3 linked regions of the Drosophila melanogaster genome follow. The protein of the gene in region 1 interacts with the protein of each later gene in a pairwise test. Each region holds a gene or a part of one and is shown in the gene's direction. Other genes may lie near its edges.

Region 1 (5,176 bases):
TAAAAGCTGGGTGAGGGTATTTTATTGATATAAAAAAAAAAATGAGTAGTTGAGTAGTGGTTGTGTTGCAAACATACTTATATAAGTGTGAAGATCAGTTAAGAAAAATATAAGCCAAGTGAAGAAAAACCACATTATGACAGTTCACAAGTGTGACACAAAAAAGTGAAAGATTATTAAAACCAAAAAAAAAAAGTGGTGAATGAAATGCTTGACTTAGTTCAACTCGCTTGTGTGTTTGGCTTCTTCAGTGAATTCGTATCATTATATTTGCGAATTGATGTCTCATAAAATGATGCGTCACGATACAGGTGGCTTCGATACTGTGATAAGCATAAACTAATGCTATCGCCGCCAGACGCGACATGGCCCATAGATGCCTCTAATCTCACGTAGCTGCTGCCACTTTGGGGGCGTCCAATTACCGGCGCAGTCGACGTCGTCGATGGCGATTCTATTGGATTTGGCTAACGCTCTGACCAATGCATCCATGGAGCATCAGTGCGAAAATGGTCGGCTGCCCGGAGACACGACAACTACTGGTCACATTGCTATTGACCCTTGGCTTCTGCCTGGGGGGAAGCTCAAAGGATACAGTTGCGGATGCGGATGCCAAGTGGATGGCTCCACTTAAGCAGTATGGGTATACGCCGCAGCATCTGAAGAACAAAGTGGAGCATGGTGAATTCACCACCTTCGAACTGGGCACCCCCAACTACCAGATTCTCAATCCCGAAGACGAACCGGAATACATAACTGCGGATCAACCGCATTATCAGGAGATGCTGAGGCGACTTACCAGTGGTCGTAGTAAAGCTGACACCATTGATGTGGAAATGGCAAGTCGCACGGAAACGGTTCGCGAGACTTCCGATCCGGGTCAATCTAAAAAACCATCTCAAATTCAAGTGCCAGTTAAACCGAAGACACAACTAAAACAAAATCGCTGGGAGAAACTAAGGAAGCGCAGCTCCATCGAAAAAAGACGTGACCACAAGGAAACCATGGAAACTGATGTGCGGGATGATCAAAGTTTCTTCCCTGATATTCAGGTTTACCCCGGCTTACCCTTCCAAAGTCGTGTAGCAAATCTAAATTAATCATAAATAAGTCACCTCATCCAAATGTGCAAATGGCTTTGATTTTAAGTGATCTCTGGTGATTCGGACAATGAATAAATACTAAAAGTATAAAAGTAAAAAAAATAAAGTACTTTTTTAAAGGACTACTTTAAATAAATCGGAGTTTTTTGCTATTTTTCTTTGTAAGGCTAAAATTGTTATGACTTTTACTCGCAATAATGAAAATAGTGATGTTGCTTATTTTTGTTAAAACAAAAAAGATTAAGAGTGCCCCCAATTTTAAGCAGAGTTTTCCCAAAATGTTGTTTAAATAATGAGCTAGACAAAATGTTAAATGGTCAAGATACTATTATTTAAATCAGTAAAGCTTTTGTACTCAATTTGTAGGAAGATAATTTAGGTATTGAGCAATATCGCTTACAAAAATACCATTATCCATAGTGTACGTGTAGACCTTGAGTTCCACAAAGAATTACAACCAAAAATTGATAAGTCAATCGACCCCAGACGTTAATATCAGATCTAGGCCGAGACCCAGAAATTATAAATCCCCCAAGCAGCTGGAAATTTTGTGCAGAACCGAAAAAATGATCATTGCGGTCGGAATGGTTTTGGCTATTTATAAAATTAAAGATTTCAGGAGGATTGTTTATTCTGGCTAATGAGAAACTGCCTAAAAAAAATGCATTATGAAGTTCGTCTTTCTCTTAAAGGTTATTGTCATGCCAAAGGTCATACATAAATATGTTTGCTATATGTTTTTGATTAAACAACTCTTGTCGCGAGCACTCCAAGCTATCGACGAGTGCGGGCAGAAATGCTTGAATGTGTATTACGGAAGCGGCGGCATCTGGCGATTGTCTTTACCCATTCCGGACCCATTCCGGACAACCACGCCCCATTCCGAGCCGTTTGGGGCGTTTGGAACGTGATGCGGTCAACGCTTCCGCGACCCATTTGCTCGGCGTTGTAAGAACGAGAAGAAGAAGCTCTCGGCCAGCGCAGCGTATTTAAGAGCTATTCAGCAAAATGCATGAAAGAGTTTCGCACGCGACCGACCAACAGCCAACAAGTGCCATCCATCGGCGATCCGGGACAGAAATTCCAGCAATTGTGGGGAAAGTGATCGAGCGAGCGAGGGAGAAATTCAGTTGAAAGGTAGGGTAACGGGGTCAATCGATTGGGAACGATTCCGGCGCAATTCTCTGACCCATTCTAAATTCAATATTCTCCCCCCTTCAGATGTTCGAACGCTGCAATTTATTATTTATGACCATGCTGATGGCATCGGCACTATTGACCCAAGCCCATTTCCCGGAATATTGTGCGGAATGTGAACAGGAGGTGTGGGAACAGGTGCCGTGCAGCGAGGTGCCCACAACGGTAGCGCCAACAACAACCGGAGGCTCTACGTTGAGCCCGCCCACAACCAGCGCCACCAGCCCGGGACCTATTTACCCAACAACAACCAGTGCCCCACCCACGCCCACGGATTACACTACACAGCCATCGGAGTACAAGAAGTGCTACTGCGAATGCAAGCTGGGCTGCAAGGAGTTCTGCCGCAAGGTGATCTCTTCTGAGCCCAAGCAGCCGCTCACCCAGATCTCATCCATTGGGGAGTATGCCCCAGGTGGCCAGGTGGAGTACACGCATGTCCATCAGCGCAAATACTTTCCCAAGTACGGAGGCGAATCCTATGGGGGATTGGTAGGACCAGTGGGCGGACCCAAGGCCTATAAGCCATATCCATTGGTCTACGAACAGGCGGCATCAGCTGCTTCACCGGCTTCCATTCCCTCGGTGGCTTCCTCACCAGCGGTGGCCAGCATAGCTGCTCCTAATTACACGCTGGAGGAGTTGGCCCAATTGCTTAGCACTGCGTATGGCACCAAGAAGGGCTACCCAGCTAGTGTGCCAACTCCGCCACGTATTCAGCTTCAGCCAGCTCCCTCCGTTTTCTATTCCCCGGTTCCAAGCTACAAAAAGCAAGTGGTTCCACTCGTGAGCAAAGTGGCGCCGGCACCCAAAATCTCCTCCAGCATTAAGTATGCCGCCTCAGCGGTTTCATCATCATCATCGGGCGTGTCGGTGGCCAAGATAAAGACTCCCTACGAGGAGAAGATTGTGGTGGCCACACCGTCTCCCATTTATGAGAGATCCACATCGTATCCTATTGTTGAAGCACCCAAGGAATACTCGGCGCCCCAGACGGAAGTCTATCCCGTTGTGCAGAGCCAAACGGAGTCGTATCCCAGCCACACACCCATATATCCAAGTCCCACGGAATCCTATCCCAGCCAAAAGGACTCCTACCCCAGCATCACAGAGTCATATCCCAGCCAAACTGAGTCCTATCAACCGCGTACGGAAGCCTATCCCGTACCCCAACCGGAGATCAAGCCATATGGTGGTCCCGATTCTGGACCCGATAAGCCATCGTCCACGTTCGATCTGGCCATCGATAATTATCTGAAGGACTTCGGATATGGCAACCAAGGAAGGGGATATGCGGACTACTAAAGTTCCATACGTTGTTTTTTAGGATTAGTCTAGGCTAGAATGTTTTCTAGGTATCCCATTATTTATTGATGTACTCCCCGTTTCCTGTTGACTACATGATGATTAAATAAATTATTAACAAAAAACTAAAGAATATTATGGTCTTAGTATTATAGTTGAAATAACTATTGCATACTTTTGGGCTATAAAGTAGCAATTTCCCCCCTTCGATTTTGTTAAAAGAATTAATGAAACAAGAGATAAAAATTTACAAGACTAATAAAATTATGAAAAAAAGCTTTTATAGTTCCTGAAATCTCGACTTTCATACGGACATAACCAGATCGACTTGGCTATTGATCCTATTGATCAAGAATATATATACTTTATACATAGTATAAAGTAGCGAGTTTGCTACTTTTCAAAAACGATCATTTATAATTCGGCTTGACGCATTTTATTATTTGTATTTAAAAAGTTTTCTTCATTTGCATTCATTTTTTTATATACTTTCTTGTTGTCGATAACATTGAATAAGATTTCATCTTACGCATTTCGCCAGCTTAATTCTGGTTTATGCTTGCCAATTTTGATAAGCATAGATATATACACAAATTAGATTCATAAATTTTCGTATGCAAATATATATGATTTATGCAATATGAATGTTTTCAAACAGCGCTTATTTAACCGTTGATCAAGGCGAATCCAAATTGTTTTTGGTATTTCCAATTTGTATTTTCACAAATTTTACGCACCAGCTCAAGTCTTTCATTTTCTAAGGTTTTACATTTGTGGAGCTTATTCATTTCAATTTTCTGTATGACACGATCTAGAAAGGATGTCGGATTGAGAAAATTTCTATAGGCACACACAAAAATAGCCATGGAAATCAGAAAGTTATATAAGTAGCTCACTATAATTGCACTTGATAGGATATAAATATTCAACAAACGAAGTAATAAGAACAATTTGCATAGTACACTTGCAAAGATGCGAATGTGCGGTTTTATTTATTTTCAATAATGTTTGCATATAAAATAACAAATAAAAAAGTGAAATCATAATATTTAGAACATATTCGTACATTGTAAATGAAGTGAAACTAAAAACGATAAATTGCAACACTTTGAAATAATGACGTCGTCCCAGCTATGAATTTAAACGTAAATTATCGAGAAGAAAATATAGTTATAGTTATACGATATTTTAAAATGTATATATACAGCTTCATTCATTAACAATCTCGATCCGTTGCTTTAAAGAATATAATTTTCGGATTCCATAAATCTCCTTAAACCTTTCCGTATTCAATTTCGTTTCGAAAATGTTCAACTGGTAAACCAAAAACAGAGCCCAAGATACCTGATATCTTGTAGATACATTGCAGTTGCTCCTTTAGTTGTTGGTGCTGTTTTCGGTCCCACAAAATTTTGCTAATTATACAAATATATGTGTCACATTGTTACACTTTAAATATATAAATATGAGTACTTGTATTATTCGGTTGCCTTTTTGTTTTGATTAAGTTTGCTGACTAATGCATTTTCAATTGCAAATAGGAAAAGTTTCTTGGTTTTTTTGGTTTTCGG
Region 2 (5,230 bases), on another chromosome or scaffold:
ATTCGAAGAATTTAATCACGTATACGAATTTTTCCTGTGCCACAATACGAAATAATAAAAGTGCCTCAAAAACTTTGAGCCCCTGCCCCGCGAAACCAGGACCGCAAATTGTTTAAAACAAGCATTGAACAAAAAACTCAAGAAGCAACACAAACAGGCGGCTCAATTCCAGGAATAAAGCCGAAGGACATTGAATAAACTGTACGGTGAGGAGGTATGAGTGGGATGTGGGGACGGTAGGGCAATGGGGGACGACACTTGGCATTAGGGCCCAAACTATACAGCCAAGGCCAAGTTTTGGGCCAAATCTTTGTGGGGAGTGGACCAACAAACGAGGACGGAACGACCATCGGCATCGACGGCCGAAAGGCAATGGAACCGTAAATTCTATTGCATGACTTGATTAAATTCGCATGCAACGATGACCGTCGACCCCGAGTCACCCACAACATCGGAGTCCGCCGTATCCGCCGAAGCCTCTGAGTCCCCCATTAAAAAAAAAAAAACCCACCTCCGAGCGGGTCAAGCAAAGGCCAGCGACGTTGCCAACTATGCCATAGCTGGAATTTCTTGGCTATTTGCTGGCTGCCTTGGCTTCTGTTTTTGCTGGCTGCTGGATTTTTGCCTTTCCTTCGACCGTTTTCTCATTTTAACGTTTTAACGTGACTTAATGAAGTTTCAGTGTCACAGCAAAATCTGCTCCTGCTGCTCCTGCTGCTCCTCTCCGCCTGTTAATTTTATGATGGATTTTATGCAGAGCGCGCCAAAGAAAACTTTGAACTTTAATAAGTATGTGTATGCAGGCATTTAACTTTGCCATCGTTTTGTCGATTTTTTCTACTCACTTTTTTTTATTTTCTGTTCTTTTTTTTTTTAGTAGATTTTTTTCTTTACACATTTTGGCCATGTTAAGCTGGGTGGCTAGCTGGCTGGCTTCTTTTCTATGGGAACTTTGCTAAAATATGCTTCACAGGGCTTGAAAGCATTTGAAGTAATGAAAAAGAAGCGAAAAAAATTGCATCCAACAAGTATAACACACACACTCTCGTTCCAGGTGATATGGATGGGGAGGTTTAACTGTACAGTGAAGCTGCGCAAAATTTAACGAAGCTTAACCTCATTCAATGTGAAAATACACTTTACTTGTACTTTGCGCTGTTATTTCAAAAGTGCGGTGACGGTGGGCGTTGCTGCTAACGCCGCTCTAAGGGGGCGTGGCTAAGGTGGGTCTATATATATACAAATATATATATATATATGTATATAGAGAAAGGTGGCGATGCGAACCTGGTGAACTTTGCAAACTTAAATGCAGAGCAGAATGATGAATGATCCAAGGATGCCAGGCTAGCAACGAAAAGAACTCGCTCTATCTCCGTTTTTCGCCGACTTTCCCTTGATTTCCCGCCAGAGGCAACTACTCGCAGAGAAAATCACAAATATAAGATTAAAATCGGAAAATAACACTACAATACTTTAAACGAACTACGAATGGCAGAAAACACAAAAATGGTAACTAAGGTATAATATATCTATGTATCACATATTAAATGTATCTTCAATTCTACAAACCTGAATATAGAAATATTATAATCTTATATCAACTATTTTGCTGAGTGCACTATAAAATCGCTGAGAATGCTATTCCCGCAAAGGTTCTTTAAAATTGAATCACTTTAGACCCAAAGTGCATTGTCAGCTTTGAGTGAGTGAAGGCGTGGCTGGTAAATTATGCAAGAGCAACGATACCAAATGTCGTCGAATGCATCCAGATGAAAATTGAAAGTGCTGCAATCCGAGATCTCAGACGCGTTTCAAATCTCCGGCGATTGCACTTGGCAAAGACCGGACCGCAAGCACATGAAGCGCACGTCACCATTTGTGCAATCAAACATCGGAATGGCCGCGACATTGACCGCAAGCTGCCACACAGTGTGAAATCCGATGCGGCTGGGAGCCAACCGGTGCACAGTGGTTACAGCTATGTTGAAAATTATCAAATATTATGCTAGCTTAAAAAGGAAGCAATATTTATGCACTCAAAACAAAACTTACTTAATTTAATAACTTCATTTTTACCATTTTTATCACATCCACAATAGATTTTCTTTTTTAATTTTTGAGCCCTATTAGACCACAGTGCATAGGTCGATGTGCATTGCGGGCTAGCAATTGCGGTATAGCTGCGTATTTTGTGATTGCGAATTGTGCGGACAGCGGATCGCCGCCTCACTTGCATCTGAAAGGAACAACCAGAAAGGGACTATCTGGAACAGTTGGTGTGTGCCGCCGAGTGAAAGTGAGTGCCTGGGCATGGGCTTCCACTTACACAATCCATGGTGGATTGGCCAATGAACTTGAAGTGCCAACGAGGATATCCAATTACAAGTAGAGCGCTCCAAGCATTTGAAGAGTGTGTGTGTGCTATAAAAACAGCATCGCGATGTCACAAATTTGCATTTCAAAGCGGAGCAACACCCACGCCAGCTGCATCCAAACACGCACTCCGTTGGCGGATTGGAACAAAGGATATAGGACACAGGAGTTCAGGATTTCAGGACACACACAACCACCCAACGTTATGGGGCGGCCAAAATCCGGCCAAGGCTTTGGGTCACCTGCCACCAGTTCATTAATGATCTATGCATTAATGTGGCTCGCTTTGGCCATGACAATGGAGGCCATAGATGCCCCACTGCCCCTATCCCTGGCGGAGTACCCGCTCGGCCTGTCGCTGGAACATGGCAGCAAACACCATTACCAGGATGCGGGTGTGGACTCGTTGCCGGGATTAACAGGATATACGCGAAATTATTATGGCCCCACTGACACTGCAGCCGGCGATGACTTGGCAACATATGGAAATTATGCTCACAAACTCCTGGCCGCCACCCATCAACAGCACCATCGCCATTCGCAATCCTCCCTTGGCACCACGGCCAATGGCTTTGTGCCCTTCTACTACAACAGCAAACTGCACTCGCCATTCACCGCGGATGAGGAGCCGCGTCGCGACCCATCCGCCAATATCGATTTTGTCATTAATACGGCAAATTATGAGCCAAATTCCGCTGGCTACGATGTGGAGCCACATCATGGGGAGCAGCACTACGAAAGCTATGCATATCGGCCGCGGGTGCAGTTTGCCACATCGCTACCCGGTCCCAGCGATTACCATTTCGAACAAATTTCCAATTACCGGGAGAATCGCCAGCGGGAGCAGGAGGTGGAGCAACATCAGCAGCAGCAGCACCAGGAGCAGGAGGATATTACTAGTATCTATGCGCGGCTCAAAGAACTCCAGACACCGGCCAATCCAGTTAAGCGTCAGCAGGAAGAGTCCCTATCGAGTCATCATCCAAACCGGGAGCAAAGCCAGCCACTGGAGCAGCGACATTATCAGCAACCTGAAAGCAGACAGCTGCAACAGCCACACTTGCAACAACATCTGCAACAAAAGCGGCCACATGCGCTGCAATATCCTCAGGATCAACGGCATCACCAGCGCCTGGGAGTTGCCCAGGACCAGCAGATGTTGTACTCTCACAAGGATAGCCAGATTGCAGATCTCCCAGCCATAACCACCAGTGTGCACCATACTCCGGAGAGCAGTAAAGCGGTAGCCGGATTGCCGTTGGCCAAGCACATCGAGATCACTAAGAGTGTGCCCATCACCCACTATCAGAAGCAGCATGTGCCCTTCAAGCAGAACGTCCAGGTGCAAGTGCCACGAACCGTGATCGCAGCCATACCCAAGCCCATGCCCATCAAAATACCAGTGGCCCAAACGGTGGCCGTGCCCCAGATGCAAGAGGTTAAGATTCCCATCGAACGGGTGAAGCCGGTGCCCGTGGAGCGGCCCATTCCCTTTGTGGTTGAGCGCAGGGTACCCTACCGAGTGGAGAAGCCGGTGGTCTCGCCAGTTTATTATCCGTATCCGGTCAAAGTGCCAGTGGTGCGCACGGTGGTGCACAAGCAGCGCCCCCACTACGTGGCACCCGGCTGGAGTGCCAACGGCAATCATCTGCTGGGATGAGTCTATCTTAAGAATAAATTCTTAAGCCAGTTTTATACCCTTGCAAAAGGGGTTTTTTGATTTGTAAAGTAAAAGTACAAACTGTAGGGTAGTCGATAAATATATTTTTGGTGGAATGTTCTTAAGTTGAATTAAATACATTTATTAATTTTTCATGTTATGCAGTTTGATTAACGGCTAGAGTATTTCAAATTCAGCTTATGCCTTAATTTCTAGTGACTGAACCCCAAAAAGTAATTGCAATTAGCAAAACAAGAAGACAAAAAAGGCCACCGACAGCAACTGCAGTGTGGCTGCAAAAGCATCCAGCATGCAACTCCTTGATCCCAAATCCAAGTTTCTAACTCCCAGTTAACAGCTACCAAACAAAACAACACATTCGGAGTCGAAGTTGAAGTTGGAGTCACAGGGCAGGTCCCAAACCGAAATGAAGAAAAGTAGCCGAGTAAAACTTTTTAATTGAGCTAAAATCCAACAAATGCGGCTAATAAATATGTATTGAAGTGCGATGGGCAGAACGAGGCTGAAGTCCGGTTGCAATGCAAAAGGGGGCTGCAGCGAAAGTGCAAGAAAATGCAGCGGCTAATTGCCAAATGTAACTCCAGTTGAAACAACTTTTAACTGAAACAGCAGAAGGAGCAACAATGACGCACAAATAAACGCGACGTTCAACTTCGCCGAGGCGTTAACGAAACAGCAACAAAATTAGCCAAAAAGTAAAGTTCCAGCAAGGGTCGCGAAAAGTCGGGCCAGTAGTTTCTGGTTGGGGAAAGTGCTGCAAGTTATTGCCGGCTAATGAAATTAGCCCTAATTGACGTGGGAGCCATTCGACTCCATTTTTAGGGAGGCGAAGTGAGGAAGAACTCCGCACCCACCACACACAATATATGTAATATTCGGCAGCAAAGGAGAATTTAAGGAAAATGTTTGGGGAAAAATGAGTTCAAAGATTTGGGGTTTAAAGCGCTTTGACTACTTACTTAATACTCATTACTCAGCCACCTAGCGGTAGACCAACAAACCTAAGCTTACTGAGTCCTTCTTTTTCTTGGGAAAATTAAACGTTGGAAAATAGTTGCATTACTTTTCTAGCTGTGTACTAAATTTTGTAAATTCAATTCGTTGCAGGCCACATTATTAGCATTTATAAGCCACATACCTATGCTGAGGAAAACCGCAAAGCGACGGAAACCA
Region 3 (5,383 bases), on another chromosome or scaffold:
AAGTGAATCGACGCAACCGAGGGGTCAAAAACATGGCTAAGAAAGTGTCCTCGTGACTATTAAGCTTGTAATCCTGAAGTTCCCTTTCCCGATAGTATTTGACAAACTCATCGAAAACGGACTCCTCCACATGTCGCCTATTGAACTTGGCCACTTTCTTTAGACAAATCACCGCATCGTCGTACTTCCTTTTGGTCAAAAGCCACTGAGCACTTTCGCAGATCAGGAATGGATATATAAGGACACCCAGTGCTGGAAGAGATGCCAGCCAAAGGTAGCGTCGCCAATTACCAATCCAAATGGCGGCCCAGGGCGAGGTCATCAGTCCAAAACAGTAGAATACAGCCAAGATGATGTTGAGGCCAAAGGTACGGCTCTTGGGGCTTAAGTACTCAAAGACTGACGATATGGGGAACGTAGATTAATTTAACCTTATATTTTGATTTAAAGTTATATTACCCAATATGTACATTAGGTAGTACATGGTATCAGTGGATAGCCCTGACATAAATCTGGAAAAGGCGAACCAGGGCAGCGTGTGCACAAAGGAGGTGATAAAATCCCCAGTTGCACCACACAAGGTGGCCATCAGCAGGGAAGGCAGACGACCTACTTGATCCGACAGATAGCCAAAGATTATGGTGCCCACGACTGAGCCCATGAAGAAGAAGGATTGGCCCACTGCTGGATGATGCGATTTGTCACAAACCCATTTGAGCTGAAGTGGGTTTTCTATATTGTAAATCTTTTCAACAACGTTTTTCAATGGCTTCATACCTCGGTGGTAATGCTTTCGTAGCCGCTCTCCCTGTTAAAAATCCAATTCCTGCACTTTCGGTTCGTAGATACAACACCTGTGCCGTTGACTACGCCCAAAAGGGGCGTGCAGGATGAGGCGGATATGTTTTCATATACCGAGCGAATCCCTTCAACACTGAGACCATTAAGGTCAGCATGGAAGCACCTGCATAAGAAAGATTGGATATTACATGGTCGGGACCAATCACCCATTTTGTGTCCACACTCACCAATGCTCTGGTGTGAAGGTGATAAGGGTCTGCGAAAAGTAGTGCAGTGATCCAAGAATATTTGTGTAGCCGTACAGCAAAAGGATCATCACCTGGAACCTGCCATAGTTTCCACACTTATCCAGAACCTGACTGAAATCCATCAGACGTTGCTTCGATGACATAAAAAATTTCCAAAGCGACTGACTACTTCCAACTCCCTTTGAGAACTGACCAGAAGCTAAATTAAACTGCGCTGGGAATAGCCATAAATTTATCTTTAGCGGCTTTAGGCAATATGTTTCATAAAGCTAAAACAGCTGGATGGGTTTTAAAATTACAGATATACCGTCAAATGTTTTGCCAGCTGTGAGCCCTGTAATTGGGAAAATATCTACAGGAGATGTCACATCTATCGCGTAAGTTTTTGTCGAAACAAAATTTTTGCAATTAAAATACCTACATACATACCAATATTGTGCTTAACTAATCCATTATTGACTAGATTTTCCATTCAGCCATATTGGCAACTTTGTAGCATTAGCCTGCCATTCTTGTTGATCAATTGCTTTGATCTTCTGGCTAAAAATAGTTAAAACAGCTGACATCGACTGGCCCGGCGGTTGGCACGACTTTGATTCTTTGTTATAGTTAGTTGTCGCATAAACAGGCCCGATGGTAACAGCAAGGGTAAGACAATGCATGCAGATGTCAATAGTTTTCCAGATGCCAGATACAAATTTGCAGCCATAAATTAAGCTCACAAAACGGTAAACATGAGAATTGTCGCAGACACTTGGTCGTTAGAGGCTGGAAAGGGTATTTTTGGCTAATCAGGCACTCTTAGGAACTAGCTGCAAACTTTTTTGGTCCTTCCAGAAATTATCTCAAGTTTATCATTGATTATAAACTATGTAACTGATCAGTATTCCTATTACAATGTGTCCTATCATAGTCAGCTTTTAGCATCTCCGCTACGTAGCAACCATTTAAGGGGAAGATCAAACAGAAAACCAGTCTTCAGCTGAAGGATCAGTCATGAGTAACCTTATATAGTCGTCATGCCACTTTTTGAAGGGTATTATTAATGACATTATTTGCCTAGACTGCAAGTGGTTGTTTGGCCTGGTCTGTGGGCCAGACTAATGTGCCGACAGCAGCGCGTTGACCTTTTGCTTTATTAGGCTGTTGTGGCGAGCCAGTCGCCCCTGTTTCCGCCCCCCTTCTTCGGTGAGCCTCTGGCTTTTGGGCCCACTCCAGGCACTCTTAATTCAATTGTGGACCACCTGACCTTTTGCGCATGCGCTGCAACTGCCATTTCATATGGAACCTCAACATCGCCCGGTGCAGCTTGTTCTTCTTAGCTAATTACGCGGCAGCCAAATGCAGCATATCCTAACATCCAGCCAATGTTAATGTAACATTTCAATTGTGTGCGGCAAAATAAATTTTCACATAATTGCCAAAAGTCGGTGTCCAAGCGGGTATTGAAAAGCGAATCGAAAACGAATCGTAAACGTCGCAAAAGTGAAAGGGCAAAGCTCGGGTTGGATTGGCTCCGGGGTCTGGGGACCCTTTAAATGGTTTAGCGGAAGAATAACCTTTCTAAGTCGACACGATAACTGCGCCAAAGTTGAAGCCAGGCACACGATTTGCCGCCAGGTGGGCAAGAGTCAATCCCCGCCCCCGTGGCTCCGCAGTACTGGTCCGCGCCATGTGCTTGATCGCTGGCCCAAGACACCGAAGACTCCGTCTGGCCGGGTCTCTCTTGATCTGAAATTAGTTTATTGCCTCGACTGCGCCATGTGAAGCAGGCGACATTTGCCGCCGTTTGCCAGTATAAATGGCCAGAACTTCCAGCGAACGCTTGCAGTTTTGGTTACTTCTTCTAGCGCGATCGTCGTCGAAACCAACAATACTCCGGCCACTCTCTACGTGTGGTGTCTGCTGAGTCTGTGACAACTGTGAGCGAGTGGAAAGGATACCCCTGCAAGGACATCGTTATGCTGAAGGTGTGAAAACAAAGGATACCAAAGTGCTCTTATAGTCTGGACAATCAAGTTTAAGCCGATTTAACATATTCTCAAGGGGAATGCCAAGATGAATTAACCAAGTGTTCCTATTACTAAAAGCTTATATTTTATTCATACAAAGAAAATTAGTGCATAAAGAAGATAGTTTAAGTCCTAATGAAACCCGTCGAATGATCCGAGTTAATATGTGATTTGATTTAAATTAAATTTAATTGCCAAGAATTATTCTAAACAATTCTTCCCTGTCCTCATATTACTTAAAGCTTATTTCAATTTAATCGCTTTCAACATTTTCTTTTAATTTTTTTTTCAGATTTCCCTGCTGAGCGCCATGCTCGGCATCGCCTATGCGGGCGTGATTGGACCCGGACCATACTATGGCGGTCCAGCTGGTCCCGGACCTCTGCACCACTATGGAGGATATGCACCGCAGCATGGGCCCCTGCCAGGTCCCTATGTGGCGCCCAAGCCGGCTGCTCCCGAACCCTACGATCCCGACCCGAAGTACTCCTTTGGCTACGACATCCAGGATGGTTATACTGGTGACCTGAAGTCACAGCACGAGACGCGCCACGGAGATGTGGTGAAGGGCAGCTACTCGGTTGTGGATCCGGATGGAACCAAACGCACCGTTGACTACACAGCGGATCCCCATCACGGATTCAATGCGGTGGTCCGCAAGGAGCCGCTGGCCTACAAGGCACCAGCCCACCTGGCACCCGTCGTCGCACCTGCACCCGCTCCAGTACCAGCTCATTACGGCCCAGCTCCGGCGCCTCCACTTCCGCCGGTGCCCAAGGCTCCTCTGCTTTCGTATCCTCTTGCCTTAGGACCTTACCACCGTGGTGCTCCCGCTCCTGCACCAGGTCCCGCTCCCGCTCCTGCTCCAGCTCCGGTGTCTGTGCCAGTGGCTACTCCAGTCCTGCCCTCCGCCCACTTCCATGCCGCCTATCCCGCCCTGGCGCACAGCCCCTATGCCCACTATCCGGCTCCAGGTCCGGCCCCCGCTCCAGTGGAACCCCATGCCTACTACCATCACTGAGGGACCAAGGTTCTCAACTATCTGATCTGATTTGATTCGACTTCATCTATCGCACGCAGCTTACACTGACCCAAAACTGAAACTCCGGCTATATCTGTGCCAAACGCTGTACTCTCAATCTCTTACTCTGTGTTCTTCGAGGGATTTGATACCGATCCAACATGTAGATTGATTCTAAGTTACCCCTAGCCTATGTACACGTCTTTAAGAAAATGTTGTTGAATGGTTAGTCTAGGAAATAAAACGAGAATTGAAAAACCTAACAAATTTGTTTGCGGTCTTCCCTAGAAACTATTAGATTGAAGTTCCGAAGCCAAGAAGAAAATAGTCCCACAAAAAGTTTTTAAATAATTTAAAAAACAACGTTTTAACGCAATTGATGAGTGTTTTATTTATTGTATCAACTTTTCGCAATGGTTCATATATGTATATGTTATATGATATCGTATGTGGCATATCTCATATGTATAATTTCTGATTATGTATAAATATGTATATGTGTGTTGTATATAAACGTTTCGAGTATGTCACCGTATGTTATAAATAAGTTTATTACAATGCATAATGTGTTATTATTTATGTATTATGTTTTATGTTTAATAGGTTCTATGAGCTACCATTCGTAGAACATACTGAAATGTTTTCGATATCGATATAAATTTATGTACTCCTCAGCCGACTTCAAAAGTTCATCAGTGTGCAGAGTGCGTTTTGGTCTCGCTGCACTCGATTAGGTATACAATTTAAATACGATTATAGTCCTTAGTTTTGTAATAAACGGTATCAAAAGATAGGTACAATTGAGTCATGCCTGCTACCACTAAATTAATTTCGAAGCTTCTATTCCAACAAAAACGATTAGTTGCCAAGCTCGGGGCTTTGTGTCTATCATTATCCGTCTGATTGATTTGATGTGTACGATTATTTAAACTAAGGGTCTTTAGGCTGATATACCATACAAAAGTGCTGTGCTCTAGAGGCCTTTACAGTTGGACACAATTTAGCTAAGTAATCTGCTTAGAATAAGAGACTAATATACGGTGTACATACCGCTAATATAAATAAGCGGCTAATATAGCTCACAGTATTCCTTGACAATTGTATAATATTTAATTCATAATTTCTTCGTTGATTGTTTGGCTTCGTCTCGGACTTCTCCGTCCGATTTCCTCGTCGGTTCTCGCGTTAGGTAAAAATCTATTGTAGACAACCACTGGATGATGAAGACTATTTCGGGATATGCTTGAATTGCGTTGCTTGATATCAGTTGTCAGTATATAAAATTGTGGACAAACAAATGG

Evidence for each region.
Region 2: the proteins of CG13114 (region 1) and CG13840 interact in a two-hybrid assay, tested with the Drosophila melanogaster proteins (one large-scale study listed by BioGRID).
Region 3: the proteins of CG13114 (region 1) and Cpr92A interact in a two-hybrid assay, tested with the Drosophila melanogaster proteins (one large-scale study listed by BioGRID).

Annotation. Positions count from the first base shown.
Region 1 is NT_033779.5:9,543,693-9,548,868, forward strand, and holds CG13114 (uncharacterized protein), read left to right. Parts: upstream 1-2,118; 5' UTR 2,119-2,240; intron 2,241-2,324; coding exon 2,325-3,605; 3' UTR 3,606-3,732; downstream 3,733-5,176. Other genes in the region: CG13113 (uncharacterized protein), read left to right, coding at 483-1,100.
Region 2 is NT_033777.3:22,813,443-22,818,672, reverse strand, and holds CG13840 (uncharacterized protein), read left to right. Parts: upstream 1-2,494; 5' UTR 2,495-2,635; coding exon 2,636-4,036; 3' UTR 4,037-4,190; downstream 4,191-5,230.
Region 3 is NT_033777.3:19,596,462-19,601,844, reverse strand, and holds Cpr92A (cuticular protein 92A), read left to right. Parts: upstream 1-2,889; 5' UTR 2,890-3,010; coding exon 3,011-3,019; intron 3,020-3,353; coding exon 3,354-4,082; 3' UTR 4,083-4,343; downstream 4,344-5,383. Other genes in the region: CG7333 (uncharacterized protein), read right to left, coding at 1-399, 460-718, 778-964, 1,029-1,171.